Oryzias latipes: one gene and its partner. The protein of the gene in region 1 purifies or fractionates together with the protein of each later gene. This does not show direct contact. Links are inferred from orthologs where the notes say so. Each region holds a gene or a part of one and is shown on either strand. Other genes may lie near its edges.

The links.
Region 2: the proteins of regulating synaptic membrane exocytosis protein 1 (region 1) and erc2 purify together in Homo sapiens (affinity purification with western blotting; 3 studies listed by BioGRID and IntAct, with this or other methods). This does not show direct contact. The link is inferred for Oryzias latipes from reciprocal best matches to the Homo sapiens genes RIMS1 and ERC2.

What each region holds. Positions count from the first base shown.
Region 1 is NC_019859.2:8,141,937-8,157,514, forward strand, and holds the end of regulating synaptic membrane exocytosis protein 1, read right to left. Parts: intron 11,040-15,578; coding exon 10,895-11,039; intron 10,745-10,894; coding exon 10,632-10,744; intron 10,517-10,631; coding exon 10,415-10,516; intron 9,710-10,414; coding exon 9,570-9,709; intron 9,497-9,569; coding exon 9,278-9,496; 3' UTR 7,201-9,277; downstream 1-7,200. Other genes in the region: potassium voltage-gated channel subfamily KQT member 5-like, read right to left, coding at 476-804. UniProt on the Homo sapiens protein: Rab effector involved in exocytosis. May act as scaffold protein that regulates neurotransmitter release at the active zone.
Region 2 is NC_019863.2:5,031,195-5,046,772, forward strand, and holds part of erc2 (ERC protein 2), read left to right. Parts: intron 1-6,479; coding exon 6,480-6,503; intron 6,504-8,554; coding exon 8,555-8,989; intron 8,990-9,473; coding exon 9,474-9,548; intron 9,549-11,596; coding exon 11,597-11,752; intron 11,753-12,236; coding exon 12,237-12,404; intron 12,405-12,643; coding exon 12,644-12,811; intron 12,812-14,970; coding exon 14,971-15,108; intron 15,109-15,578. UniProt on the Homo sapiens protein: Thought to be involved in the organization of the cytomatrix at the nerve terminals active zone (CAZ) which regulates neurotransmitter release. Seems to act together with BSN. May recruit liprin-alpha proteins to the CAZ.

The DNA of each region.
Region 1 (15,578 bases):
GTACTGTCAGATGGAGACCCAACCATCATCTAATGTTCATCTGTTATTTAAAACTACAAAAACTGGATGGTTGCTAAGGACCATCATCTTCAAGGGAACCACCACAATGAATTCAACTTGAATAGCAATCACAAGTGGTTGTTTGAGATCAAAAGTTTTCACTTTCTGCAAACATATATACCCCCCCCCCCTCAAAAAAAAAGGCTTCAAAAGCGGGGTGTGATAAGCAGCTTCCTCCCTTCAGTGCCAGCATGAGCCTCACTTCCTTCCTCTCCAACTGTTTCAACTGCGAGTCAACAGAAGCACGCGGCGCGGACGCTCGTGCCCTGACCCCGCGAGGAGGAGCCTTCAAGTTTAGGGGCTTCAGACAGACATTTCCGTGAGAAAAGGCTACGAAAGCCGCTCTGATCTGAGACTGCGGTGGTTGAGCATCAACAGGTGCACTGACTGAGTGACGGCGCGGAGGGGGACTTACACGAACGCGTGGTAGATGAACGCCCAGGCGCGCGGTCTCTCCAGCACGTTGTACAGGTAGTTCTGAAGCCGCCGGTAGCGCACGTTCCTCCGGCCGCTCTGCGCGCTGTACACGAGCGGCTTCCCCAGCAGGCTGAGCCGCGCCGCCTGCTTCCCCGTCAGGCTGTCCACCCCGCCGGCACCTGCGGCGGAGGGCGACAGGAGGCCGTCCCCGGCGCAGTTTGTCATCTTCCCGGACTCCACATCCCGCGAGCCCTCGCCTCTGTGTCCCGGGGATGTCCTCATCCAGAGCCCGGAGCCGCCCTCGTCTGCGCCGTGGTTCCGGGGCATGGCAGCACCAGAGCCGGCCAGCGCGCGGAGGTCTGCACGAGCATGCGTGTGTCCTCTGAGGGTGTGAGGGAGGTGGGGGGGCGTCCCGTCTTGCGCTGTCCGGGACGAGGAAAGCGCACCTTTTCCGCACGTGCGTCAAACTCCCATTCACCGCAAGTTGCTGCGTGTCCGCGGAGAGCGCGAGGGATGTTTGCCGCCTGTTGCTTCACAGCTGCGCATTCACCAGAGACGCGCATCAGCTTCGCGCGCTCCCGAGACTTGAAGTTTCTGCATCTTCACTCCCACCCGAGCGGCTGCAAAAACAAACAAAAAAAAAATCTAAATTAAAGCTCAAAAGCCAGACAGTCTGCATCATTGATGCACATAAAATGCTCTACGTGCATAAGGGTTCCACTTTGCACCGCGAGGTTTTCTACCCGAACTTCCTTCTTTGCACGCACGTGCATCACAATAAAAGCAAGAAGGTGCAAGCTGTCGCGCGCACCGCTCTGCTGCTGCGGTCTCGACTGAAGAGCGCCCTCTGGCGGCGGACAGAGGGACTCTGCTGTCATTAAGGTTCCAGAGGATTTTGGAAAACAAACTCGGATGTTTCGGGTTTTTATTGAAACTGTAAAGAACAAAACTACAAATACCAACTGCAGAACTTTCTTTATATTTTAACAGGTAATTTAATTTTAAATTAACAAAGAAAAATGGCAAATTGCCGATCTCTGAAGACAAGTTTTTATTTACAAAAAAAAAAAAACCAAGACAATCAGTTCTGTACTGCAAGTCAAAACTGAAAGTAGGTAATCCCCCAAACTCTAAGGTTTTGCTCCTATTTTTCAAATACAATGAAAACAACAAAAAGCCCAAATGCTGAAGCTCAACTTGCTTTGTAAAATGGTGATGCTGTTTTTAACTCTGCACAAAGCAAGGTCCATAAAGACACGGATGACAGAGTCTGGTGTGGATGAACTTGACTGACCTACACCGATTCCTGACCTGACCTGACCTGACCCCGATAGAACACCTTTGGGATGAATTAAAGCAGACTGAGAGGCAGTCCTTCTCCACCAGCATCAGTGTGTGACCACCAATGCACTTTTGGAAGAATGGTCAAAAATTCCTTTGAACACTCCTCTTCCTGGAAGAGTTGAAGCTGTATGAGCTGCAAAAGGTGGACCGACATCACATTAAACTCTATGGGTTAGGAATGGGATGGCACTTCAGTTCATATGGGAGTCATGGCAGGTGAGCCAACACTTTTGGTAATATATATCCTCCATCATGATAAAAATGTCACACGAACATGTAAAAAAAAAAAATCATTGGAGGAGGTTTTTAACTTCTGTGGTTGTGCAAAAATTTAGGGTATAAATCCCACAAGTGTGTCAAGTGTCTTTTTTGTTTGTTAAAACACCATCAAGCAAGTGGAATATTATATCAAAACTAATAAACCCCACAATACTATTAGCAAGAAGTCAGTCAATTTTTTCCAGAAACAAAAATTATTTAAAAATATGTTGACTCAATAGCAAATTCACTAACTTTATTCCATTTTTGTCTACCTAAAAATTTCTAACGTGTCTAATTTAAATCATCAAATCTAATTAAACTGTTGCTGTTTGTCTGAAAATTAAGCTAACAGCTGTCATACACTGATATCAAATGACCCAAAAAAAATGGTAAAAAGCATTTCTGTAGTAAACAGTTAAACGTTTACGTTTAGAATTCAACTGTTACTTTACTTCAAAGAAACTGGGTTAACTGTAAAGAAAATATGATAGTGTTGAACCAAAGACCTGCTTATCATTTCAAAGATGGCGCACGTCTTCGTTACTTACAGACGCGTTGACAATGGCGGCCATTTTTGAACCTCCACAACATCATGCACAGATTAGAAAACGAGGGAGAGAGACATTGACAGTCAATGGAGAGAGAGACTGCGTTTTTTTCCCCCCTTGCTTAGAACTCTATGCATTAATATCAAAACACTGCCATCTAGTGGAGTGGCGGACCTTGACGGGCTTTCTGCTCACAAAACTTTCATAAAACTCCCAATTAATCCAAAATCTGAAGAAGTCCGATTTAAAATCATAAATGTTGTAAAAATAACTTTTAAAATTAAAGTATGGATTTGAAGAAAACAACTGTATTTTTGAACACTGAAACCACTGACTTCTTTTTTTAATTACTTTAATAGTTTTAGAGATGATTTTCATTTCTGGTGTTCTTCTAAATTCTTTAATCTGGTGAAATAAAAATAAAAAAACATTTCTTTTGGGTGTCATTTCACATAAACACATGTTTAGTGTTTATGTATCAATAATCCAAGGGTAGTTCTATAATCATAAAAGTAAATTGTCAAAAACCAAACCACTTTTTATTCATTCATCCATTTTCTTTTCCGTTTTATCCCTTTTGGGGTCACGGGGCTGCTGGAGCCTATCCCGGCCACTTATAGGCGAAGGCAGGGGGGCACCCTGGGCAGGTCGCCAGTCTGTCGCAGGGTAGAATGTCCACAATCACACACCCATTCACACTCACACTCACACCAATGGACAATTTAGAGTTGCCAATTAACCTATGAAGCATGTTTTTGGACGGTGGGAGGAAGCCGGAGAAAACCCACGCATGCACGGGGAGAACATGCAAACTCCACACAGAAAGGTCCCCCGTTGATGTGTTTCACGTCCCCCAGCCGGGACTTGAACCGGGGGCCTTCTCACCGTGAGGCAAGAGCGCTAACCACTGCGCCACCGTGTAAAAAAATACACTTTTTAATGTATTTTATAAAGAGATTTGTTTCTATTTGTAATCATTTGAATACATGAAAAATAATCACTTCACTTCTGTTAAAGACAATGACTGATGAAAACCCTTAGTATTTATGTTTTATTTTATTGTCTTTGTTTTCTTCTCTTTATTTAATGATGTAAAGAATTTGTTTGTTCTCACTGCCCTAACTGTTTTATATTTGTGTCTATATGTTCTCATATTGACATTTTTAGTGTTTACTTTAAAAAAACAGGATTTTTTTTGCCTGTGCATTCACCAAATTTAAGGCCAAAGGAGTCGAGTGCAGACAATTCTAAAACTGAAACTTCTCCCAGTTTAAACTGAACTCCTTTAAAAACAAGCAAATAATGTGAAGTTTGATCAAACCATTAATCAGCTTCTGTTGATTCCAGAGAGCAGAAATATTCATTTCTAGTTCTTAGTTTGGTTTTTCAGCTCACTCTTCTTCTTTTTTTGAGCTTCTTGTTGAAGCAAAAGTACAGATTAAAGGAAAACTGATGGGTTTCTTCCGAGGTTGCGTTTCTGACCCAATCTCCAAAGTTCACAAAGTTTTATTGTGGCCCCTGACTTGCCCGGGCTCCGCTGAGCTTTTCCACGCTGGTCTGGATCCAGCTTTCGTCAGAGGGGGAGGTGACCTCCGCTCCTGCACCGGAGGGAACCAGGAAGCGCCTGGAGGCCCGGCTGGCAGGGCGAGGGTGGTGGAGGATCAGCAGAGATTGCCTGCAGATGTAGCTTCGGGGGCCCCTCTGCTTTTTTAAGGAGAGGAACATAAATCTCCCAAGCCCTCTGCTGCGCCGTATGTGAGGCCAGTCACGGGACCCAGCCGGATCCGCATCCCAGAGTCCTGGAAAAGCAATGAGCACTGAGCTAAGTTTCATCTCTTTTTTCTCATAATGAGCTGATTTTAGTGGACGTTTTTAGATTTTAGGGTTGAAAATGAGAACACCAACAAGCATTTTCTTGTAACAGGTGAGTTCTGCAGCAGGTGATCTTGGTGCGTTCCTTTTTTATGATCTGGTTTGAAACATTAAAAAAAAATGAGAAAAGCAAAGTCAAAGTAAAACCAGCCCTAAAACGGAGTTTTCCAAACAACGTTGGAAGGAAAAAAGATCATCAATGAAGGAAAAACTTGATAAATCTTCATAGAGATTCAGCTGATTCCAGCAGGATAAGGAGGACAATTTCCCAGTGAAACCTTATGGAGAAAAATCTCCCGGTAAAGGTAAGAAACCGTTTCAAAATGTTCCTTTTATTTTCAAAATTTGATGAATTTTAATATTCTTCCAAAGAAACCTCAGCTGCTCCATGATCTCCCAGATTAAACATTTCCTTTTTTGAATAATTCATTGTCCTGGTTGTTTATTTTACAACCAGCAAACACAACCATGAGAGAATCTTTCCTTCTTATGATTTCCTCACACAATGATAATTCCACTGGTTGAAAAGAAAAAGAAAAAGGGGGTGTAAATAATATAAATCTCCTGCGATCATCAGACTCAAGAACTGCAAGGATGCAGATGTTCAGAGTTGTGTTCACACCGGGCTTGTGACGTTCATTAAAGAATGCGCTAAATGCAGGGTCTCAAATGTGCATTTAGCCCATGGCGTTCACACCGGACAAGCAGGGAGGGGGGGGGGGGGCTTCTCACGAGTCTGTCACAATCACACAGCCATGTTCACTCACATTTACACCTAGTAACCACTTGTGAACACCACACCTATTATATGAAGCATGTTTTTGGACAGTGGGAGGAGAAAACCCACACATGCACGGGGAGAACATGCAAACTCCACACAGAAAGGTCACCAGCTTCATTTTAAAATTGAGGTAATTTTGATTTCGAAAGAGGGTGGACGACACATCAGCGCTTCCTCTAAAGTCACAAAAAAAAAACCTGAAATTTTTTTTTAAAAAAACAAGCGAGGAAAGTCTCACTCACCTCCACTGAGGGGACGAAGCTCTGAGGCTCCACTTCCTGTCCGGCCACGTGTTCGCATCCTCACTTCAGCTTCCTTCCAGCTTTAAAAGCGGCTGAAACCCTTTCAGGGTCACGGGGTAGCTGGAGCCAACCCAGCTACTGTTGGGAAAAGGTGGGGTACACCCTAAACAGGTCATCGGTCAATCACACACTTACATGCACACCTACTCTTCAGCGTTCAGGCTCCACACTGGCTCCCAGTTGGGATTTGAACCAGACTCGTCTCACCATTAGGTGAGAGTGCTAACCACTACACCACCATGCAGCCCTTGCATCAGCTTCACATCGCAGAGGTCGAGTGGTCAATCTCTGCCCGCTTTGCCCGCCCATAAGTTGAAGTGTCCTTGAATCCCATGTTGCTCTTGGTGGTTTTCAAGTTGGCGCCACGCAATGAGTTATCTTGCTAGAGACGCTACGCTAGCATTGTCAAAGATACGTAAAGAGCGACGCCATATTGGAAAGGTCTGTAAACAATGAGACACGGCTTAGTAAATACAGTAAAGCCAGCATAAAATGCTCAATTTTGGTCCAATTTTAAAAAGAAAAAAAAACTCATCATAAAAATAAGACCCAGGTCATCAACAGATGGACGGCATACATTATTATATAGAAAACCAAACGCACACCCGATAAGTGGGTGTGATTTTTTAAAATCTACACACACTAAAATTTACACAAACTCCTTGTTTCGTGTTTTAAATGGGTCCATGGGTAGCCGACATCGCCGCAGACCGCTTGCGCCCGTTATACGTGGGCTGGTCGCCGCCTGGGGCGGCGCGATGCGTTGGAGCAGACTGAGAACAGAGAGACGAGGTCATTTCACTCATCCAAGTTTCCTTTAGTCTTTAAATAACAAGACAAGAGAGGGCTTTTTTATCCACACATCCTTTTTTATTTGTAAATAATAAAAATGAACTTTTTTTTAATATATATTTATATATATAAAACATACACATCATTTGAGCCACATCTGTTGTACAAACAAGAAACGTTGCTGTGAACTTTTTTGACTTTTCTCTAATCTTTTTTTGTTTTGTTACAGTGGAGCGCAGAAGTTTGTAAACAATCAGCAATTTTATTTCCTGTTAGTACGGACAAAAAGAAAAGAGAAACTGAAAAAACCGACTTCACCAAACGATGGAAAGAAAACGGCTGTGAAGTGAGACAAAACATGGCCCGTTTGGTTCAAAAGTGAAGCTCACGTGTGCTTGTTCATCAACTTGGTCCAATATTAACGAAAAATCCAGCAAACAGCTGTCGGGTATTTACAGTAAGACTCTGCGTTGACTCCTCGAGTCACTGAACGCCGCGTGGCGTTTTTTCGTACGTGGTCTGTTCCTCCTGCAGGAGGTGCTGTGAGGTCTGCTCAGTAACACTGTACAGTACAGTACTTTTTCCAGACGGTGAAGGAGAGACGTAGGTGTGACCTCGGGATTCGCTTTGAGACATTCAGCACCGGACAGACTGCAGCTGATTTCGGACGGCGTTATGAAAATGGCTTCTCGGTTTAACCTCTTTAATATTCAAGTACAAGCAAACTGTACAACTGCATGCAACATACAAGCGGCCATAAGCTACATGGAACTAACATCTAGTTCGTACATCTTTTTACGTTTAGTTTTTTTTTGGGGGGGGGGGGGGGGGGGGGGGGGCAGGGGGGTCGTCGTTTTGGTTTACAAAAAAATGTGCATGCAGCTTGGAACAGGTTCCAAAGTCATGCTGGCCCCGCCCCCTCTCTTGGTAAGAGGGGTCTCTGCAAGTCCAAAGGAGGAGGAGCTTAAGATTCCAGATGACACTGAGCTAATCTTTTTTTTGCTTCCAACTAAGGAGGACTGAAAATGACTTTTTTTTTTTAAAAACAAAACAAACTGTAAAAATGCAGAAATACACAACAGGTTACGAGTTGTTTTTATCTTTAAATTGAAAAAATATTGAAAATATTTCTGTATTTCTACATGTATGGGTTATGGACTGAGCTCAGAAAATTGGTTATGCAAATATCAAAATGATACATTTTCTTTAGAGTCAACGAAATGTTACTTTATTTCAAATCGTAAAATCGAAACCTGAAAAAAACCTGATTTACACGTGACCTCTGACCTTTTCTAAAGAGCACCACCTTGCTCCAAAGTCTGACATCAAGATCAAAACGGATTTATTGGCTTTCTGACTTTTGCCAAACTCACACAAACGTACATCCGTCCGATTGGTGAAGAAATGTCGGAAACTCTAGTTTCAGCCTTGTGGCGAATGCTCAAAGACGGATGAGCGATCATAACATGGCCCAACAACGCACGTGTGAGTCCTCCAGTCGACACGAACCCCCGGCTGAGAGCCTGTCCCAAGCTGACTGCATTTCACTCTTCCTCCTGTTACCCTGTGGGTGTGGCTAGCGTAAACGCTGGTTGCTAAGGTGCAGCGGGGAAACATTTACTCCAATGTACGGAAAGATAAATGATTACACAGATCTATTAGCTCCATACATTTAAAACATGATGTGGTTGCTATGGACTCTCTCCTCAATTATACTTCATTGACAGATAATCTGGACTTATTTAGCTAGCTAGAAACCATGGTTTTAGCTAAGATTTAGCTAGCTTTTCTCAATGTAAAGTGAAGAAGGACACAGAACACTTTGTCATCCAGAGCTTTTGCCCGGTGAACTCTAGATTTAGACTTCAGTTAGCATCCCCTGTTAAATCAACATGCTTGAATGCTAAAGTAATGAAATGCATTTATAAAATTAAATGTCTAAAGTTTTTTAGTATAATTTCTATATTATATTTTTAGTAAAAAGGTGTTTATTTCTATTTTCTACATGTATATATTTTGTCATTTTTAGTCCTCCATCAAGACAAAGTACTGAACTTTTCTCAGGATTGTTGCTTCATCCTCATTTTTTTTCTCCTGAAACGTTTTTCTTTCTAAAAAAATAGAAAGAAAAAAGAAAATCAAGCCATTGTGCTTGTGTTTGTAATAAAAAAGGTTAACCGAGGTTCAGATAAAAACCCTAAACGTGCTGGGTTGAGGGAAGGCACTCCCTCGGAACGGTGAAAAATAAGGGCATCTTTTCTACCGTTGGCGATGTGCGACATAAACTTGTATTGGTCCACCTCCTCAGAGGTCTGAAGCACACCTGTACAAAGATGGTTGGCCTTCTCATTGGCCGGTAAATGAGCACAAGCTAGGTGTGAAGGTCTACCATCAACATTGATTCTTCCCCAGAACTTTTTTTCTATCCTCCTTTTTTTCTCCCTGTGCGCGGATTGACAACATCGCGACCGTCTCCCTCGTCATAAGACATTTAGCGGCTGCGGTAACGAAGGAGGAGAAGCAAACACGAGGGGATGAGCGCTGCCTTCGTAAACATGTTGAACAGAGGGGCGGGTGGACACGGCTCCAGGTTCTAGGCACCAGAAAAAGGCCCTGTGCATTCAGACTGAAGATCCATGCGGCAGGCAAGCGCTGCATCAGGACTGCGCCCCCTGCAGGCGTGGAGGCCTTACATTCCCATGCGTACGTACATTTTTGTGCTGCGATGATTCGATCAAAAACCACCCGGCGACACTCAAACATTTGTCATTTTTGTTTTGTTGACAACAATGCATGTGAAACACTGAAACAGAAAGAACCGCGGCAGGAGTGATTGTCAGATTTCGACAAAGCTTTCTCGTTGCGAATCTTTTTGATTGTTCCTCAACATTTCTGCTCATCTAAGATCGGACTCCTGCGGGTCCAGACGAGCTGTCGAGGGACGACTGAGAAGCTCTGCGGGTCAGAGAGGCGAGCGTTGGATCCACCAACGAGGCCGGTGGGAACAGCTTGTACCAGCCAATGACTGTGCTCGAGAGGTCCAGCTCCTCCAGTAAGATTTGTGCAACTCCCATGAAGCTTTTGTGGTCCATGCGGCCGTAGTCCCCCCAGACTATTACCTGGAGGAGGACGACCATATCAGTCAACATGCATGCAGGCATTTGTGATCATGCCGCACAGGTGTTTGCTCACCTGCAGGACTTTCCCCTGAGGACTCTCGTCAAACAGCAGCGCCTGCTGGTACAGAGGGTCCAGAGTTTTCCGCGCAATCTTGGTTTTCTTCTTGGCAACGTACGCTCCATTATTCAGAAGATAGACCTTCACGTACGGAGCTTAGGGCAGACAGGACAACAGGAACAAGGCAATGAAACTAACCTTCATTTGCTTAAAGTCCCACTCTGATATTCCTCTGATCTATTAGTGGATTTTCTACAACAAAGGTAAGGTCTGCTGCACCTGATTTACAAAATTTTGAGTAAAGGATTATTGAGAAATCCAATTTGAGCTTAGTTTTCTCAATATATGTCTTCTGTCATCAGCATCAGAAACGCCACAAGAACATGTTAAAAACACAATTCTTTTTTTTTATCAGAGCAGGTCTTCAAACGGGAAATTTTTTTTTTCTTATTATGTTTTCAACAGCAAGTGAAGATTACGTCCTAAAAAAGACAGCTTTTCCTGAAAAAAAAAAATGAGATGGAGTAAAGAGTTTTGCCACAGGCTATTAAAAATATGAAAGAAGTCTGAGATGGAAAGAGATTCAACACAATATAAATAATTTAACAACCGACTTTGGTCTGATCCATAAACTAAAAAAACAAAACAACGTTTGACAAGTTTGAAACCAGCATCTACACCTGATTACAAAACTTTAACAATCAGATGATTATATGAAATTTAAAACTAGAGGAACTCCTCCTCCTGAGTTTAAAAAGGTGTGAATTATTTCCATTAAGTCTCAGAAATGTGGTCTCGTTTTGTTGTTGTCTCACATTTCTCCTTCTGACTTATGAGCTGTTGCTGGATCAGACTACTACCTGGGAGAGATTTAGATCCCGGTTTTTGTACCAGCCCTCGTGCTCTGATGACCTCCACCTCCAGCTGGCCCTTCTTCTCCATCATTCCTATCTGGATGTCACCTGGGTAACCGAGCACAGAGGGGGTTATAAACGGAAACCAGCAATGAAGCAGTGAGGCAAAGACTGAAGATGACATGAAGGAACAGGGCGAATCCAGAGAACATCCGTTCCATACCGATGGCAGGTGTTGCTAGTGTTTGTCGGCCCACCAGCTGAGCCGGTCCCAGTCCATCCAGGAAGTCGCTGAACTGGCTGCTGGCCCCCATGTTAATGCCAGAGAAGATCAAACTACAACAGGAATCACAACAAGGAGCAAAATCTAAGAGCAGGCCTTCATTCATGGAGGCACGGGGGAAGTCCAATCTTTGCAGGTTCAGAGTTCTGCAAGTCTGATTTCAACAGTTTAGAGTCGTGTTCTGAACAAGGAAGTTTACTGACTTTGCCTCCGAGTTGCAGCTGTTCATGCTGCCGTTGTTGGACTCCCTGCTGGGCTGGCGGCTCATGTTCCGGGTCAGTTCCACGGCTATGCCGATCTCGGTGCTCCTCTGAATGGGAGCGCCCTTCTCCTTCTTACTCTTCCCTTCTGGAAGACAAACGAGAGAAAACCATCGAGATCAGCCTGATGGCCAGGAGATCAACAAAGACCAACAGAAATCAACAATGGGTGGCTGATGAGCTTTAAAGCTTGTTTCTAGGACCTCAGAATGTTCCTGAAGAGATTACAGGATGACCCGTACTCTCTTAATGAACATTTTTAACATTTTGAATGTTTCCAGTCACTTTTAAGCAGATAATATTAACAGTTTGCCCAAATCTTTCACACTTTAACAAGAACAGTCACTTTTAGGGATTTTATCTGAAGTTATTATTAATTATATGTATATTATTATGTATATATATATGTTATTATTATTGTGTATATTTATTATTAATTATTCATGTAAGAGAATGTTTACAGTAAGCACTGTCTGACGCCTTTGTGGTTGATCATCTGCTACATAATGGTACTTATGTAAAATATGGTTTATTAGATTAACAGCAAAAGGTCAGGATTCTGGTGTAATCTTCAACCTCACAATGTCTTTTTTTTCCCTTCTTTATCTTCTTTCCTCACTTTCTACACTGAGAGTCACATAAAAACAAACAGTTATAAGCTAGAAATCTCTCTTACAGCGAAAACGGCCTGATTGTCTATTAAAAGCACAACATTATTTAAAGAGATGTTACATTAATCATAACTTTAATTATCTTGAATGGATTTAACTGCAGTAAAATGGGGCAAAAACAGCTAACATTAAATTAAATTACCTTAAATTATCATTATATGCCACCAAATGTAATAGTGCTACACCATTTGTTTTTTATATAAAACACTGTCTCACATTTTCACCTGATTCATTTTTCTGGTTTTTTTGTAAAAAGTAAAGAAATATTCATCTAAAAGGAGAGGGAAAATATTTTTTACTCTGTCATCAAGCTTAGTTAAATGTAGAATTGTTTTGTGTGCAAATAAGTAATCCCTCCATTTTATTGAAGGTCAAATGAAACAACTGTATGTTGATGTAAAAAATACACTCATTTTGTTATATGTTAAAAAAAATAAAAAAAATAAAAAGAAACATCAACTTGTATGCGAACAAACAGAACTCCTTAGAACAAATGGATGATGTAAGTATTCTAAGGAGGTTGTACCTTCAGGGCTGGCTAAAGTGAGGCCGGTGATGAATAAAAACATGAATGAAGCTGTAGCTTAAACATCTGCTGTTAATGGACTGCTCTCAGTTTCCCATGAAACTGCTGGAAACCAAAAGATAAATGTGCAGACTGACTGTTTAAGGTTTTCATTTACCGTCAGCTCATCCGCCAATCAGAGACACATTTTCTCCTTTTAGTGCTTCGATAAAAGCAAATTCACATTAATGAAACTGTTTTTAATAATAATATTTCAAAACACTTCGATTTTTAAGTGGTGCTAAGCTTATATTTAAGGAGGCCAAGCACAAAAGTGTCCTAAAATCTCCAGAGTGCAGGATTGCATAGTTGCTCCCATCATCATCATCACCATCATCATCATCAATCACAGAGCTGAAGAGTTTCTCTGTGATCTTTAGCAGGAAGTTGCTGTTTGTTGGGTGGACCTAAATGAGTGAGGATAAAGGTGCTTCTCAGGTGACTCTCTGCAGGTGAGGGAATTTAAAAGGAGCAGCGTTTTGGTCCTGATGTAAGATCGTTACGGGAATCAATCAGAGAAGAGGCTGGAGCCCGAGCAAAGAGAACGGATGCACTAACAGAGCTGCCGTGAGGGGGACTCCTAACTGCTCATAGATGGTACACTAAACAAAAAGGAAATAGAAAAACAAAATAAAATATAAATTAAATAAGAGAAATAGAATAAAGAAAGGAAAAAGAAAAAAACTGAAATAAGTAAGAAAGAGAGAAAAAATGTTTGTATTGTTTTATAAAATGGCATTAGCATGAAAAGTTAAGAGTTTCTGGATCTAAACTTTATTCCTGATTATTAAAAATGAACGGCAGATGGACACAGATCAGTCAGCATGGCACCAGCATGAAGGAAGGAGCATCAGGCTGACTGGAGCAGAGCATCTGGTCTATAGGAAAGTCAAGAGAAAGTGTGAGATTTTTGGCCAATTGTCAGAGACCAGTGGTGTGGGACAGAACCTTTTGGGGGCAGAAACCTAAATTATTATTAAATAAACTTAAACATGACAAAAGCATCAAGTCAGGGATCAAAAGGATGAGACAACAAATGACTTAAAAATAACAAAACAGAAATCCCGACACACTGGTTTTTTCTGTCCTCTCATCATGATGGAGGACATATATAAAAATATTCAGTTCAAATTTGCATTTCTGAGTATTTCTTTGTTCAAATTATTGGGAATCAGGAGCATACCAAAATGCAGTATGCAACAGAGAGTATTTGTTTCATAGGATATAGACTACGTGGGCCACAAGCTCCTTGCTCGGTTCCATTCTGATGCATCCTGTAGACAAATTGATCCATGAACGTCTTTGTTTTCCTCGTCTGAGCTGCTATCTGGATAAAACTGGCTGGACAGCTCACCATTTTTTTATGCACCAGTAATGTTAGATTGCAGGCTAGTGGCAGTCCCGCTTCCAACTCGGAGGCAAATTTCTATAGAACTTCTGCCGCTCTGCAAAAACTGTGTCCTAGAAAACGACACAGGTTTTTTTATTTTGGCTAAAAATGGCCTAATCGTATTTAAAAAACCACTGGGAACCCTTTGAAAATAGCTCAAAAGATGATTGGAGTGGGACTTCAAATGCAATGAAGGTAATTAACTGAAACGAAGACAGCTGTGGATGATCAACCTGGTATGATTGACAGGAAACAGAACATGACAAAAACCAAGAAATAAATATCTCTTAAAGTCTTTAGCATGTTAGCAACCACACCGCCTATAAACAGCACCTGTGGGGCAACAAGTTTTCAAGGTTAAAGATTGGGATCGGGTTAAGGACTGATGATCAAGTTGGATCATTCATTTGAAGACTCTAATCCGTCGAAAAAATGCTCAGACATCTGGGTTTCCAGAGCCATCTCCAGCTTACTCAGAGAAACCAGAGCTTTTCAAGGTCACTCCAGAGATTGAAAGTCTCGCCGTGTAGCCCGATGTCTGATCTGAGGTGTTTCAGAGACGAACTTGACTGAAAAACCTCCAGCAGAAGAATCCAGGAAGGTCTCCTGACAAGCTGCCCGATAGAGCCCATCAGTCTAAAACAGATAAAACGTCTAACAACCGTTTAACTCAGAACAGTGAATTCCCACAGAAAAAGAGATGGCTGTCAGGCAGATCAAACCCAAGGTCACACTCATGCTGTGAACAGGAAAGCACTCAACAGTGATGGTCACACGGAGCCGACCAGTGGAAGAAAGCTTCAAGCTTCAAGTTCTGGACAGTCTGCGTGTGAAGCTCAGCCATGCTCTCAATCCAGTAAACAGGAAACGATGGGACAGCAAAAACAGCCCCCTGTGACATCAAACGTGTCTGTGATCTAAGGCCTGTTTTTGCTTTCCGTCCTGCACTGATTTCTCAACGTTTAATATCAACGTGATAAAAGTCAAGAGGAAAAACCACCATCCGTACCTGCTTTTGCTGTCATCCATGCTGGCCAGAAGAGTATAGGACTAAGAATACACCTCCTCCTTTTCATCTAGGTTATCCAATGAGGGGGGAGGGCAATCTAATGTTGTCTCAAAGCTTTTTCTGTCTTCAACAAAGGAGGCCATGACAGCATTTGATTTCGGCCCCGCGGTGGAAGTGGATTCTGCTGAAACTCGACATTTCATTTGTGCACCGAGGCAGCAGAAGCCTTTGTGTTTTACTTTTCTTCGTAGGAGTCTGGGAACGTTCGACCCCCCAGGACAAACACTCTCTCTGGAAACGCTCCTAAAGTTATGGCATCAGTGAGAGGAAAAAAAAGTTGTGTCGTCTGAGAAAAACTACAGCCCCAACATAACCTTTGAGTTTTAAGGACCCCAGTGTTAACGCATGCGTTTGTCAGCAGGGGAGTGTATGTTAAGGTCTCCCAGAGCACATTCCCACTGTTTTTGTCCATTGTTTTGTGCAAAATAAATTATTTAGTAGGGATGTCCCTACCTTGGGCCCGGTCACAGACTTGATCAAAATCCGATGTTGTATCCCGATCAATGATCGAATGTTTATTTTATTGTCATCATTGTGATCAGTGCTGTCTATTTCAAGTCTATCATTTCAAATAAATGCCTTACTAGAAGTCTGCATAAAATGTACGGTTCATGACATTTTATTGCCATAAAGGACATCTGGATACAGCAGCAGTTTGACCAGAAGGAGGTACACAAAAACAGTTCGTTAAAGATATTCACAGATTTGGACTTCAGGGATCAATAGTTCTTTTAATAAATAATTTAAAAGGTGCTGCTTTTTGGGTCATTGTTCTACAGCAGAACCAAAAGACTCTTGAGATCATGAACTTACAATGGAGAAAGCTCACCTTCAGAAATAAAAAACATTACACAATCATTGTCAGAAGTCAGAGCTCTGTCTCCCCCTCTGGTCACCGGCAGAAACTGTCTCCAGAGTTATAACCACACTAC
Region 2 (15,578 bases), on another chromosome or scaffold:
GGTCGGGGCGGGGGGATTCCCGGAACTCCTGGGTGGTGGTGGGGTGCTCGTCTGGGGCTGTGGGCGTCCCTCTCCGGTGGGGCCCTGCGTTGGGCTCTTCCGGCGCGGCGGGGGGCTGCTTTCCTGGCTGGGCTGGGGCGGCGCTCTCTTTCCCTCTGCGCCTCCCTGCTCTCTGGCTCTGGGGGCCTCGCGGCGGTCCTGCTGGCCCTGGCCTGGGTGGCGGTCTTGGTCGCCCGGGGGGCGGTTGTTCCCTGCCTGTTCCCGTGTGGCGTTGGGGGAATTCCGGCTGCCGCTGCTGCTGCGGCGGGGGTATGGGTGTGGGGGTGGCTGGGCGCTCCTCCTCCTTCTTTTCACATTCCACCATCCATTTTAGAAGAACATAAACACTCACCTGAGCACAGGTGTTAGCTCACCTTTGCACTAATAGTTTGCATGATTGAATGAATGAAAGATTTCACACTAGTTGGTTTAAAGGCATAGGTATGCGTTCGTGAACACTATCTGTTTTGTGTGCATGTTGACATGTGGACATTTTTGCGGCTAGCAGGTGTGTTGATAATATTTGAGTGTGTGTGAACAGGCCCCGCCCTTTTTGTACTACATTTGAACCGTACCGTAACGATAAACAACCAGTAAACCTGTCTGCTCTATGCTGCTTCATGGTCTTACCCCCCTTCCCCTCCTATTATCACCCTCCTATCCCCCCCCCTCTCTAACATCCCTCTCTCTTCTTCCCCTCTTTCCTTTTCCGTCCGGTCCAACACCAAAGATTTTCAAACATGATTGAAATTAATAAAGTTTGGCCTCAATTACAAAAGGGGTTTATTCAGACATACCTTTGGTTTGTCTGAAGATGAATAACCCCTCTTGTTAAAATAAAATATGTCCAACACAAGAGGCCCTCAGCTCTCATCTGTTTGCCTAGCTGTTGGACAGGACAAGTTAAAAAAAAAAAAAAAAAAAACCTGTGTCGTTCTCAAAGAAATAGCTTCTGCAGAGCAGCAGGGGTTCATTAGATATTTAACTCTGTGCTGTGGATGGAGTTCGCCTGCCCTCATTTCGCATCCTCTCTTTGTTCACACTCTCTCTGCCTCGATGGTGCAATAAAAATAGCTAGCAATATCTGATCAATTTGGCTGTACAATTTTAAGCCAGGTACCAGGTCAGATGAGGAAAATGAAGATGTTAATGTGTCTATTTGTCTGCAAGTGGATGCATCCCAATGTAGAGAAGCAGGAAGCTTGTGGGCCGCCCACTGTAAGACCTACACTGTAGTATCAAAAGTGTTGGCTCACCTGCCTTGACTCCCTTATAAACTGACGTTTAATCCCATTCCTTTAACTCGTAGAGTTCAATATGATGTGGGTTCACCTTTTACAGCTGTTACAGCTTCAGCTCTTCTGGGAAGGCTGTACATAAGGTTGAGGAGTGTTTCTAGGAATTTTAGACCATTCTTCCAAAACATCATTGGTGAGGTCATACACTGATGTTGGTGGAGGAAGCCTGGTTCTCAGTCTCTGCTCTAATTCATTCCAAAGGTGTTCTATGGGGTTCAGGTCAGAGCTCTGTCAAGTTCATCCTCATCCCCAGACTCTGTCATCCATGTCTTTGTGGACCTTGCATTGGTCACTGGTGCACAGTCATATTGGAGGAGGAAGGCCTGCTCCAAACTGTTCCCACAAGGTTGGGAGCATGGAATTGTCCATAATGTTTTGGTATCCTGAAGCATTAAGGGTCAAGTCCTGAAAAAACAACCCCACACCATAACTCCTCCTCCAAATTTCACACTTGGTCCGAAATGCACCGTTCTCCTGGCAACCTCCAAACCCAGACTTGTCCTTCAGATTGCCAGATGGTAAAGTGTGATTCATCTCTCCATAGAAGTTGTCTCCACTGCTCTAGAGTCCAGCGCCGTTGTGCTTAACACCGCTGCATCCAACGCTTTGCATTGCACTTGGTGATGTGTGGCTTGGATGCAGCTGCTTGGCCATGGAGACTCATTCCATGAAGCTCTCTGCGTGCTGGACTTGGGCTAATCTGAAGGTCACACGACGTTTGGAGCTCTGTAGCAACTGACTGTGCAGAAAGTCGGTGACCTCTTTGTGCTTCTGCATCTGCTGAACCCCCTCTCCATCAGGCTACATGGTCTACCACTTGGCGGCTGAGTTGCTGTTGTTCCCAAACTCATCCATTTAGTTCTGATAGAGCTGACAGTTGACTGAGGACATTTCACCACTGGATTTGTTGCACAGGTGCCGTCCTATGACAGTTCCACGCTGGAATTCACTGAGCTGCTGAGAGCGGAACATTCTTCCACGAATGTTTGTAAAAACAGTCTGCAGGCCTGAGTGCCTGATTTGATACACCTGTGACCAGACCAAGTGATTAGGACACCTGATTCTGATCATTTGGGCCGGCTTTACACTGCAGGTCTTGATGCCCATATCCGATTTTCTGACTATATCCGATTTTTTTGACGACCCGCTTACATCATCTTTTAAAAGTGACCCGTATCTGATTTTTGCATTTACACTACACAATGCTGAAACTGTCAAACGTAGACGTTCTGAGGACTACGTAGCAGCATTTCCGCCTTCCACGGACATCCTTTGGACTTTTGTGACTGCGGTTGTCATGGAGGCAAGGCGGCGACGGAAGGAGGCGTTGCCTTGGGCGCTCCAGACGGGATGCACGGGGGAGGAAAAGAAGGAGGGCTGGTCGGCCGTCTTATGTGCTCTCTCTGAGTTTTGAATGAGGAAGTGTTTGCAGACGTTGTGCTGTACTAACAGTTTGATCCAAGTGTTGAACCTTTCCTGAGCAATGACACACGGGAGAATTCCTCGGGGTTCTCTTTTCCGTTCTGAACCCTCAGCCTCCAGTGGGCTAAGAAAGACTCCAAAACTTTTGGGCGAGACACCTTATTTTTAATTTACGGTTCTCCGACAGTCCCCCGCTCCGCGCTCACACCCGCTCTCCTCTCCTTAAGTTACACGCACACACACGCAAGCACGCGCGCGCGCGCACACACACACACTGTCCCCATCATACACCCCCCCCCAAAAATAAACAGCTTCTAGCTTGTTCCATAGCAACGGTGTCCCGCTTGATTAGTTACCGTTTGAGTCCCGACCGGGACCGGACCGGACCGGACATAACAGCGGTTTCCAACTACGGTCTGAAGCCTGATGCTGAAAGGTAACACGCTGACAGCAAAATCAGCGCACAAAAAGCACCTTAATAAGTCATGTGATCTCAGTTGGTGGTGTCCTGAATTGACATCACTGACGTACAACTCGCATTTACTGGGGAATATCCGATTTGTCTGCTTACATGGCACACGCAAATGCACGTATCCGATTTATTTCCGATTTATTTCCACATATGAGAGAGGCCTGTATCCGATCTTAGAAAAACAGAATCCATGCGCTTTTGTCCTGCTTACACATTCACCGGTCATATCCGATCTGTGCCACATGAGAGGAAAAAAATCGGAATTGGGTCACTTGAACAATGCAGTGTAAAGGCGGCCTTGGATACTTCTGGTAATATGGTGTATGTCACTGCTACAGACTTTTTCAAACTGCATTTTTTGTCTGCCCCTGATTCACATCAATGTGAATGAAGAAATACTCATAAACGGAGTATCCTTCCAAATGTTCTTTATATACTGTATGTCCTCCAGCATCAGAGAAAACGCTACAAGAAGATGGTAAAAAACACAGCAAAAGCAGTATTTTCATTGGAGTTGGTCTTTAATAAAACATTAGCATGCTCTAAAATTTGAGGGTTTAGCCACTGAGGGAGGAAGTAAGCCTTTAACCCAGGAGTGTCAAACTCATTTTCACCGAGGGCCACATCTGCATAGCGGCTGTCCTCAAAGGGCCAGATATAACTTATACATGTAACTAAATGTGAAAAATAAACTTAACTACTCCTAAATGTTAAACAACTAATTTATGTATTTGTAGTAACTTTTGAAAGGGACAATTACAGTTGCATAGAAAACATGTTTGCTTGTAACTCTAGCATAAATCCTTTTCAATTAGATTCTGTCAGGTTAGATTATATGGACAGTGTTTAAGTCCTAATGTATAGTTGCCCAATCTGATATTTCAAGTCAGATTCCCCCTAGATATGAATAAATACACACCAATTTTTATTTTTTTATTTTAAGAAATCAAAAACTTTTATGCTTTCGGGGGCCACATAAAATGACATGGGGGGCCACATTTGGCCCCCGGGCCTTGAGTTTGACATGTGTGCTTTAACCTTTTAACCACCCCACCAATGAAAAAAATAGGATTTTATTTATTTTTTATTTTATTTATTTTTGGGTTGAGTAAATAAAACACGCCATGTTTTTACAAAAATATTAGCGCACCCACATCACAGCAAGAAGGCCCCATTTTAAATCCCAGCTGGGACCCTTCCATGTGAGTTTGCATGTTCTCCCCGTGCATATGTGAGTTTTCTTCAGGCACTAAGGCCCTCAGGCCAGAAATATGCTTCATAGGTTCATTGGTGACTCTAAATTGCCCCTATGTGTGACTGTGAGTGTGTAGCCCTGCAACTGACTGGTGACCTGTTTAGTGTGTAACCCGCCTTCACCCTACAGTAGCTGAGGATAGGCTCCATGACCCTGATGGTGTTTCAGCAGGTTCTGAAGCTGCACGGGTGGAGATGTCCTCTAAAATGTTGTTGAATAGGCAGTTAAAGCGTTAAGACCAACTATTGAGCACTTAAAACTCATTGCAAGGCTCTAACTAATGGTACATCTGCTGCATGGGTAACTCCTGATGGTTTTGATTCATACTTCTTAATCCTAAGTGGAACTTTTTGGATTTTGTGTTGTTTTCTTCTGTTTTCAAAATTGTTGGTCATTAAATCAAGTATAGAAAAGTTGTTGGCAGATCAGCTCAAAATTCTGTTTATTTAAAATGTTGACTGGTTTGAACTCCTTGCCTCATATATCTCTCAGTGGGATTTTCTTGTTTTTTCACAAAAAGTTTTTTTTTTTTTTGACAGCTGGAAACCCACGAATGCTCCAATTCATAGAAGACATCGTTGTAGCTGAATGTCTCCCCTTCATTCTAGAAAAATGGGATAAATGATTTTTTTTTTAAGCCGAGGCAGCAACAGAAACATAAAGCCATAAAAATGAGTGAACACATCCGCTGAGTCATGAGCGAGTCACGGGAAGTGAGGCTTTGCTGCAGGAGACTGCAAGACATGGAGGGGCATTTGAAACCACGGGGCAATTATGCAAATGGTAGAATTGGACAGTCTCCTCCAGTTTGATATCAAGACGGTTATTGATCAGAGCTGAATTGGTAGAGGAGGAGAACATTTGCGTTAAAAACTAAAAGAAATTCAGGTTAAAAGGCTGAAACAACATCAAATAATTTTCATACTACTGTCACAGTTGAATTAAAAACTATTACTGATCAACATTAAGAAGTAAAAAGTTTTGTATTTTTTGTGCTACATTTCTAGTTGGATTTTACTGATATGAAAAAATATCGTGTAGCTTTTATAAAGCTGTGTTGAGCTTTGGTCTTCTTTGACAGAATCAGTGTTCTATTTCGTATGAACATAGTGTTGTGTAGTTTCTGATGATGTGTAAATGAGTAGGATCAGAAAGGGATGCTGGATCTGAACTGTGGGTTTGACAGCATTCAGCAGGAAATTCTCAACAGAAATACTGCCCCCCTGTGGTTGGAAGACAGTAAATTACAATCTTGTTAAATGATGATGAGTATTTTTCCAACAACTGTCCTTTTAATTAATTATTATTATTATTATTATTTTTAATACATTATATGTATGGTATTGTGTTAAATCTTCTAGTAACAAGTAAGAAATCTCTTACAAGAGCCAAAAACATTTGTTAAAGTACTAAGATTTAGATGGCTCATTAATTTGCTTTTCTACGTAAATGACTGTTGATTTTCAGCTTTTCCTTGACTACATTTTCCAATTAAAAAACTGAAATAAGTAAATTATTTTCATTTTATTGCCAATTTTTAAAGGTTTGCATACACAACTTCAGTTCCAAATGAATCTCGGATTTTTACTGTCAGTATTTCGTGTTGCTGTAAATGAATTGATTTTCAGTTTGTCATTTTTTTTCATCTCTTTCCAGAAAGGTCTTCCTGGTAAACGTATATTTAGTTTTCCCTTGTAAAGGGTGTTTTCCATGGCAGACCTGAGCCCCGTTAGAAACACAAAGACCCAGGAAGTTGAGCTGCTTGTTTGGTGAATGAAATATAAAAGAAGCCGAAATGAAATAATGTGTTAAATACATGTGTTAGCATGATTAGCAAAAAAAAAAAAAAAAAAGAAAGTCTGCTGTGAAAAAGTATGGTCCAATGCATTTGCCGTTTAAAATTTGCTGATCACCCATTTTGGTTTGCATCAAACTCGGACACTGTGTTTCAGCATACATCTGTTTTTCTGTTGATTCTGTCCATGCTCTGCAGCTGCTGGATGCCAGGAGAACCAAGGTTTGTCCCTATGTTTGCACCATGTGTTGCGTGCACAACATAGAGTCACCTTTAGTGTGGCGTGTTTTTACACCTGGCAATCCCTTTGCACCATGAAACCTTTGAACCCTTTAGACCCTCAGAAGAAGTAAAGGCTTTTTTTTCTTGATTCTGTCTGACTCCTCTTTCCCTGAACGTTTTCCTTGTGGAGTAGAAGTTGTTCATTTGAGTCCATGTCTATCAGAGCTGTGGATGTAAGAAGCATTCCTTTGACTTGAGTTGGATTCGAGCGTCCCGAATCAGAAACACAGATATGCCAAACTTTTCTTGCTGGTGTTTTCTGACTCCCTGACGCCGTTTTTGGTTAAATGAATTCACATTTTATTTCTGTGAATTCATTTAACCTTTTTTAAGTGTGCAGTTCTAATGATAGTATGGGAGATTGCCCAGGATTGCAATGTTTTCTACATTCTGGACTCAAAAATTGGTTATGATTGTTGAGAAAAAAAACCTTTTTTTTGTTTGGACACAGGCTATCTTTAACATACTTAGACATTTTTCATTTTTTGTTTTTATCTTCTCCATTGTTGCCATATGAAGATCACTTTAAAATCAGAAGCTTAGGAATTTGAGATGCTTATCCATGGCTAAACTTACTTTTTACCATACAAAATATTGATTACATTTGTTTGAAAAATATTAGTTAGCAAACCTTTTTGAATTTCCTGTTTTAATAAAATTATTCTAAAGGAGTTTGGACTCAAACTAAGCTTTTAGGGCACATTTGAAGGAAATGGAGACTCTCCTGCAACTTGGAAAACAAGGACTTAATCCCAGTTGCTTTCTAACACGCTTCCTCTTCACAGTTCCTGGGTTGAAATTTTCTTTTTCAATTGAACCGCGAAGCCATTTAAACCTGAATTGGGCCATTTTCTGTCTTTGGGTCATCCTTTGTTCCTCTTTTCTTTGTTAAGGGGAAAGACAGAACAAAAGCCTTGATAGACAGTGGCCCAAAAAGGATTCTGCTAAAAAAGAGCCAACATGTTTACAGAGAGTCAAACCTACATTGATGACAAACTAAACGGAAATTCTCGGTTTACCATGTTGGTAAAAAGGGCATCTCCAAAACAGCTTCAGGTACTTTGCTGATGGCAGTGGATCCTTCTCAGAGTACCACAGTACTCTGTCTGTTTGTGGCTGAAATTCAGCAGCGTTTCACTTAAAGTGATAAACTTCCTGTTTTAGATCCTGAAGAGCTGTTTTGGATCATCTCCAGGTTTTAAACAAATGTTTTGTTGCTTTTAAAAAAAAAAAAAACTTTAGATGGTTGATTTTTTTAAAGGCTGGCAAAAGGTAAGTACTACAGTTTTCATCTGCTGTTGTCAAATTATCAGTGAATTTCACTTAAAGATCCAGTCTGATCATCTTTTGATCTATTTTAAAAGCGTTACCACTGGACAGCCCCCCCAAAAAACAAAACTGTGTTGTTTTCCAAGGCATAGTTTCTGCAGAGCAGCAGTATTCATTACAAATTCACCCCTAAGTTGTTGGCACAGAGCAACCCCGCCCCCCTTCCCCTCCCCATCACTGAGAGCTCTGCCGTTAGCTTACAGCCCCTCACATCCCCATCCTACCATTACCAGTGCAACAGAAACAGTGAGCACTGTTGGAGTCGTATTGAGCCAGATGCCAACTCAGACAAGGAAAATGAAGACATTCATGAATCTATTTGTCTGTAAATGGATAAATCAAATCGAGGTGGAGTTTGTGGTCCGCCCAGCATGTTTTTTACGTCACAAATACAATCTCTGTCAAATGGCATTTTTCTGCTTCTGATTCACAACGATTTACATTAATAAATACTCAGAAATGCAGTTTTAAGTGAAAATTCCTTGATATAGGTATGTCGTCCATCATCAGAAAATTCCACGTGTTAAAACCACTAAAACCCCAATTTTCATCGGAATGGGTCTTTAAGAAGTTTGTTTTTTCCTGCATTCTTGTTTCTCAACGATGGCACTGCGACCGTTTGTGCGTGTACACATGCATGTGTTTGTGCATGTGTTCATCAGCATCTTCAGATGACCATCCAGGCTCTGCAGGACGAGCTGCGGACACAGCGAGACCTCAACCACCTGCTGCAGCAGGAGAGCGGAAACCGCTCCGGCTCCGAGCATTTTACCACCATCGAGCTGACAGAGGAGAACTTCCGCCGGCTGCAGGCTGAACACGACAGGCAAGCCAAGGAGCTGTTCCTGCTGAGGAAGACCCTGGAAGAGATGGAGCTCAGGATTGAAACGCAGAAGCAGACGCTGGGGGCCAGAGACGAGTCAATCAAGCAGCTGCTGGAGATGCTGCAGAGCAAAGGTCTCCCTCCTGGGCCAGGCAGGGCATCGGAGGAGGAGGAGCAGGAGCGAGCCAGACGTATCGCCGAAGCAGAAGCCCAGCTTGGACACCTGGAAGTTATTTTGGATCAAAAAGAGAAGGAAAACATCCATTTAAGAGAGGTACATTTGTTACATTCTTGTGACTGCATGGCTTCCTGGCTGTTTTCACTGTTGCCTTCCAGCTGAGAGGTTTCCATGCTGAGTTTGTAGAGTAGTTTACATTTCCCAGTAGGTCAGAGGGTTTACTCTGTTGTCTGGCTTCCTCCCCCGTCAAAACCTGCCCATGAAGTGGTGGTTCTGACATACCAGCAGTTTTGACATGAACATGTGGGTACTCAGTTAGGAACGACCACATGACCTCCACGAACCCCAAACAGGATTTAGAAAATGGATGGATGGTGTTTTGTGTTGTTGTCACTAGATGGCAGAGCTGAGCATAGAAAAAACTTCTCTTTTCTGCTGTATTCTATTTATTATGTAATGTGAACTGAAAATTGCAGGCATGTTTGTTGCATGACAAACCTTGCATGCTAAAAAAACACATTTTTTTGTGAGATTTCTATCTTCTCTAGAGCTTAGAATATTATTTTGTCTTTTCTTAAAGGAACTTCACAGAAGAAATCAGCTCCATCAAGACCCTAGTAAAACCAAGGCCCTGCAGACCATTATAGAAATGAAAGTAAGAACTTGTTTTGTGAACAGATAGAACAAAGTAAATAGTAGTGTCCCATCCTGTCAATCACCAAGAAGCAGACGTTGTGTGTCCATAAATTGGGGCGGTTGATGCCCATGAGCAGTGTGGTTTGTTAACCAGCTGGGCTTTGAAAGACGTGTTTTCTGCATCTGCTGTTTTTGGGTCCCAGGCTGCTGAGTCAGTTGTCAGCACATTTGTAGGTTGCCTCGTATCAGATCACAAGCCTGGCGTGTAAACATGAACAAAAGGCAGTTCAATACAGCCATTCAGCATTTCCTCCATGGGGACGTTTTGGAAAGGGTGTGGCGAACTGAGAAGCTAAGATGATATGACAAGTAGTAGCAGGAGATTGGTTCTCACACTTTGCACAGATAAGCATTATTCAGCGCTTTTCAAGCTTTTTTAAATGTATTTATTATACTAAATTCAGCTTTTAAAGAGTCTTCAACTGTTTTCTTTTGCCTATCAAGCACAGAGACGAGGATGTGCACGACATCACGAAAGACCCTTTTTTCGCATGTGAAGTCCCCCCACCCAAGTTTGCAGAAATTTCCTTTAAAATCTTTAGCTAATAAAAAACAAACTCAGATTCCCAAATGTGCTTAGTTTCTTTTGCAAAGGATGGAAACGGTCCCTCCTGTGTGCATCTTTGTAGCAGTCCACTGTAGCAGTGGAAATGTCAGCTGCATCGAACCACAGAGCTGCCGTACACACCCCCAGCCTCACTGCAGAGGCCTGACATCACTTCCTCAAAATATATCATGACATCATCGCTGAGCTGACACAGCCCCTCTTCGGCTGGATGGGAGCTGTGCAAGCCCCTGCCTCTTCAGGCGCCGTCACGTGGCACCAGGGCTCGCGGATCTTGTTGATTTTCATACATGGGGAGGAAAGTCCTGCCCCCTCCTGTGCTATAGAGGAAGACCCTCCATCTCTCCTTTTCCCATCGCTCTGCTGATGCTGATGGAAGCAGGAATAATCCTCCCTCCCTCTCCTGGTCTACAGCCCTCCCGCCCTCTCCTCTTCACTCACCAGAGACAGTGCACAGCATATAGCCTGCCTGCTGCTGCCATGGAAACAGGTGTGGTTGTTTATGACAGTATGCAGGAAGGTAGAGAGACAGAGAGACATACAGATCCAAGGAATGATAAAGAGCAGGATTTACTGACTAGGTTGATGCACCACTGACACATGTGGATGGAATAAAACCACCTCTCAAGGTACGCCGTCTCATGTCGTTTGCAGAAATGTCAGCTCACATGGAATTTTTCTTCTCGTAACACAGAGTCTTAGGTGAGGTGCAGGAGAATCTCAAAGTGCATGTACGTGTGCGGGGCTCTCGCATCGACACAGACCTCTCAGATCTGCCGTTCTTTATTGCTAAAACATTCAAAATGGTCCTCTGTTGCACGCTGTGACCAAGCCCGCCAACGACCATAAGTTCACAAGTTCAGAGACACTAAAAGAAAATCGAAAGAGTCCTAAAAGGAGAGCAAGATACATGCTCTCCGTGCATGCTTTGCTGGACAGGGAGATGAGCCATGGCTAATCTTGAAGATGTTGTATTATTTATTTAAAAAGCCGTGAAGCTACAGCAGCACTCGCCATCACAGTCCAGAGAGAGGGTTCTGAATTTATCTGCAAGCAGCCACTGCAAAAGCTGCAGCTGCTTACTTTTTCTTTTCCTTGTTTAACAATTTTCCAAAGTCCTGGAGAATCTGTCTGTGCTGGATGTGTGCTCAATATTTCCCAATGGTGATTAATCCTTTGAGCCCCTGCAGGGAGCTGGTAGAAAGCTTTGTTTCGCCGACTGTGCAGTTGTTCTCTACCTGACCAAAAAGCTTCCTCCGTTTACTTTCCGTGTCTGCTGCTCCCCCATTTTCTGCGACTCTCTCTCTCTGTCTGAGTGTTTTTTAAAGCTCTTCGGCTCTCACCCTCCTCGGGCTCCTCTCTGTAGTTTAGCTGCAACATGCTTTTCATGGACAGGCGAGGCTGGATTTTGAGGTGCGTCTCCTTTGCATTTTTGTCTCCAGGACACCAAAATTGCCTCTCTGGAGCGCAATATTCGAGATCTGGAGGATGAGATCCAAATGCTGAAGGCTAACAGCTTACTGAACACAGAGGACAGAGAGGAGGAGATCAAACAGATGGAGGTCTACAAGAACCACTCCAAGTTTATGAAGACCAAGGTAGAAGCCTGTGCCAATTGATGCAGTAAAGTACTGCCCCAGGAAAAAATCCATATGATGTGAAGTGTGTACAAACTTTTCTGTCATAATTAGCATACAAGCAGCAGCCTCAACAGCTTATTGGATTCTCAACTAAACTTACCTGGTTTACTGTTATATAAATACAGTTTTGTATGTATTCATATCTCAGATGTCTCTGCATTTGTTCTTTTTTAATTTTTGCTTTACAATCATTGTTACAATCATCAGCTAGGCAGCTAGAGCAGTTTTGTCATCTATTTTTAGACCTCTTTCATTAATCATGAATAAAGAGGATGTATAAAACATGATCAATGCAGGAGTCAGTCCCAAATGCATTTTTAATGGGGAAAAAAAAGCCCATCAACGACAATAGTGCAACTTTAGCAGCTCACGGTTTGGGCAGGTTTCTGGCACAAGGGCAGTCATGATGCTTAAAGACATTTGCCTTTTTTTGGACGTGCAGATCGACCAGCTGAAGCAGGAGTTGTCAAAGAAGGAATCAGAGCTGCTGGCTCTTCAGACAAAGCTAGAGACCCTCAACAATCAGAACTCAGACTGCAAACAGCATATTGAGGTGCTTAAAGAATCTCTCACTGCCAAGGAGCAACGTGCTGCCATCCTACAGACAGAGGTAACTGCTGTGTTTGCTGAGCCTGTCCCACTTTGGAAAAACTTTATTTAAATCTTTTTTAATTGAGCTGTTAATTGGACAGGTTGCATCTTACAAAATGTTGCATGTTGCAGAGACAACAATCACTCAGGCATGCTCTTTGGCTTCTTTTAGTTGTCAATTAAAAGCAGGTGGCTCTTTAAATAAGTGCTGTTAAAGCAGGCGTTTCCTGTCATTTCTTGTGGTTGGTTTGGCTTCAGGTGGATGCTCTGCGTCTCCGTCTAGAGGAGAAGGAATCCTTCTTGAACAAGAAAACCAAGCAGCTGCAGGACCTGACGGAGGAGAAGGGAACCCTTGCTGGAGAAATCCGGGACATGAAGGACATGCTTGAAGTCAAGGAGAGAAAGATTAATGTATTGCAGAAAAAGGTGAGAGCGAGGAAACCAACATCTTTGGATCTATTTGTAAATTTTATTCCCAGTTTTCTTTTAAATATGATTATGCAGGTTTTGGCCAAAAAAAAAAAAAACCTGTGTTGTTTTCTAAGGCAGTTTCTGCAGAACAGCAGGAGTTATTAGAAACTTGCTTGTGGTTGTGGGGAGGACTGTTGGCATGGACTAAGCCTACTTCCCATCATCCATCTGTTTACACGCTCTCCCGCTAGCTTACAGCCCCTCACACCCCCAACCGAACATTTCTAAAATTTGACAAGTTCCCTGCAAGTAGATAGTTCCCTGCAAGTAGATGCATCAGAATGGAGTATGTTGGCTTGCTATTGTAGTTTCTCCATCACAACTACAATCTTTTTCAATAACATTGTTTTTTTTAACTCCTGACTCACAGTGATTTGAATAAAGAAATACTCAGAGATGCATCTGAATTTTAAGCACAATGTCTTAATTTGTGTCTTCCATCATCAGAAAAATGACACAAGAACATGTTAAGAACGCCAGATGTTGTGCAATTTCACTCCAAAGTGTAAAGTTTTAAATGGGTGGTGACAAAAGCCCAGAACCTTTCTCTCCATCAGGAGAGAAAGTGTCTCCAGCAAGTTAAAGGAAAGCGTACAGAGAGACAAACACTGGGACACTTCTGTTATGTTCATCGCTGAGTGTTTATGTGTCTGAGCTGGAAATACCCACAGAACCATTCTTACACTTTGACCCGTTTACAGGTCTTCTTATTCTTTTGCCTCTAATTGTAATCTACGTCAAACTCTCCTTTTTTTCATTCTTTCTTGTTTTTGTTAATTTGAATTTGTGCTATACTCCATGAAATCTCTCTCTCCCTTTATATATATATATTTTTTTTTAAATGCAAAACTCATCTCTTGACTCACTGTTGTTCCTGTTTGAGTGTTGATGTGTCATTTGATGCAGAAATCAAGTTAGATAGGAGTAAACACAGAAATATGTTTATATTTGTGCACATCAACACCTTCGACTAATCTAAACCTTCTATATAATTGAATGTTTCATTAAAGGATGATGTTATTCGCATGTATTTCCGAGCGACCAGCTCAAAAAGGTCAAAAAGTGCTGGGAATTCATGCACATTGCTGCGTTGCCTGCACGTATTTTAAGTGTGTCCAAGGCTGTATTTTGTTGTTTGCTGCACGTATTTCAAGTTAAACTTAAAGTCCCATCATCTGTCACGTAAGGTGTGTGAAATATGTTCTCCACATTTAATCCATCCCCTGGAGGGGCGGTGAGCTGCAGAAACAGCCGCGCTCAGGAGCCATTTAGTAGTTTAATGCTAACTGTAACCATAACCTTAAGACATCCTCTGTGCGGCCAAGAAAAAAGTTCAATGCTTGCTGCACGTAGTATTTCAAAAAATTACGTGCGAGTAGACACTTTCTTAATTAAAACAGGAGGACAAGAGAGAAAGAAGCCAAACACATGCAGAGAGCATGCTACCAGTCCTTAAAGTGGTCTGCTGTGCTGAACATCTGGGGTTCATTGGAAAGCAAATCAACAAAAAATAATTTTACCTTTGAAATGACGTTTGGTTTTCTGTTTCTAAATTCTACTAACCTTTGCTTGCATAGAGCCTCTCAAAATTAGACACAATCTGCCTCTAACATTTATTAGAAAAATCTTTACAAAGGATTTTATTTTCATATTTAATACTAGTAATTATTGAAGCCTTCACATAACTTTGCTTCCATTAAAATTGCATTAAAAAAATTCCGTCTAAATATCTACATTTTTTGACTTTCATTAATTTAAAGCTGTTTATAAGTCTTGAACAGATCTCAGACAGTTGATTTTCCAGCTGATTTTTATAGCAGTTGTTTTTCTATTCTACAAATTAGTAGACAATACTATTCAGTTTCAGGTCTGACTCCTCCCCCATGAGCACATATTAACCAGCTCTAAAACCAGCTATTTCAGAATAGACAAAGCCTTTTGGATAAGAGGTGAAACATCTTCAACTTTTAAAAAGCAAGTCCAAATGGCAACCTGTAAACCTACTACTATGATGGATTCTACCTGGATGAAAGAGAGTCTTCATAGACATTTTACTAAAGTATTTTTGCTTCTTCCCGGGATTTCACAATCCACCTTCTAACTTCCTGAGGCAGATTGAAAACCTGCAGGAGCAGCTGAGGGATAAAGAGAAGCAGCTGGGGAACCTGAAGGACCGCATCAAGTCTCTGCAGACGGACTCCAGTAACACAGACACTGCCTTGGCCACCCTGGAGGAGGCGCTGTCGGAGAAGGTAGAGTGCAAATCATCACCTTATGAGACGGAAGTTAGGATAGAAACATAAAGGAGAATGTTAGTAAGCACAAAAAAATCACTTCTTCTTTTTAGAGGATCAAAAAGTGTCTTTTTTTCTCTAGATTTGTGCTACACATAAAACTTTTAAGGTAGCTTTTTTAACATTTAGAGTAAATATTAATATTTTTGCGGCTGGTTTGCGGTGCCTTCCGTCCGTGAAACCAGGGTTCGACTTCGGGCTGCTCCCTGTTCCCTTCTCTACTTCTGTGCTGGTCCCAAGCCCGGTTGCTTTGAGAGGGTTGCGTCAGGAAGGGCAGCCGGTGTAAAACATTGCCAAGTCTACCGTGCGACTCTTTCGCTGTGGTGAGCCCTGATGGGAAAAGTCAAAGAAGAAGAGTAAATATTAATATTTTTATTTGAAATAATGCCAGCAGGTGTATGATGCAACTAAAAACATTACTAAAATTA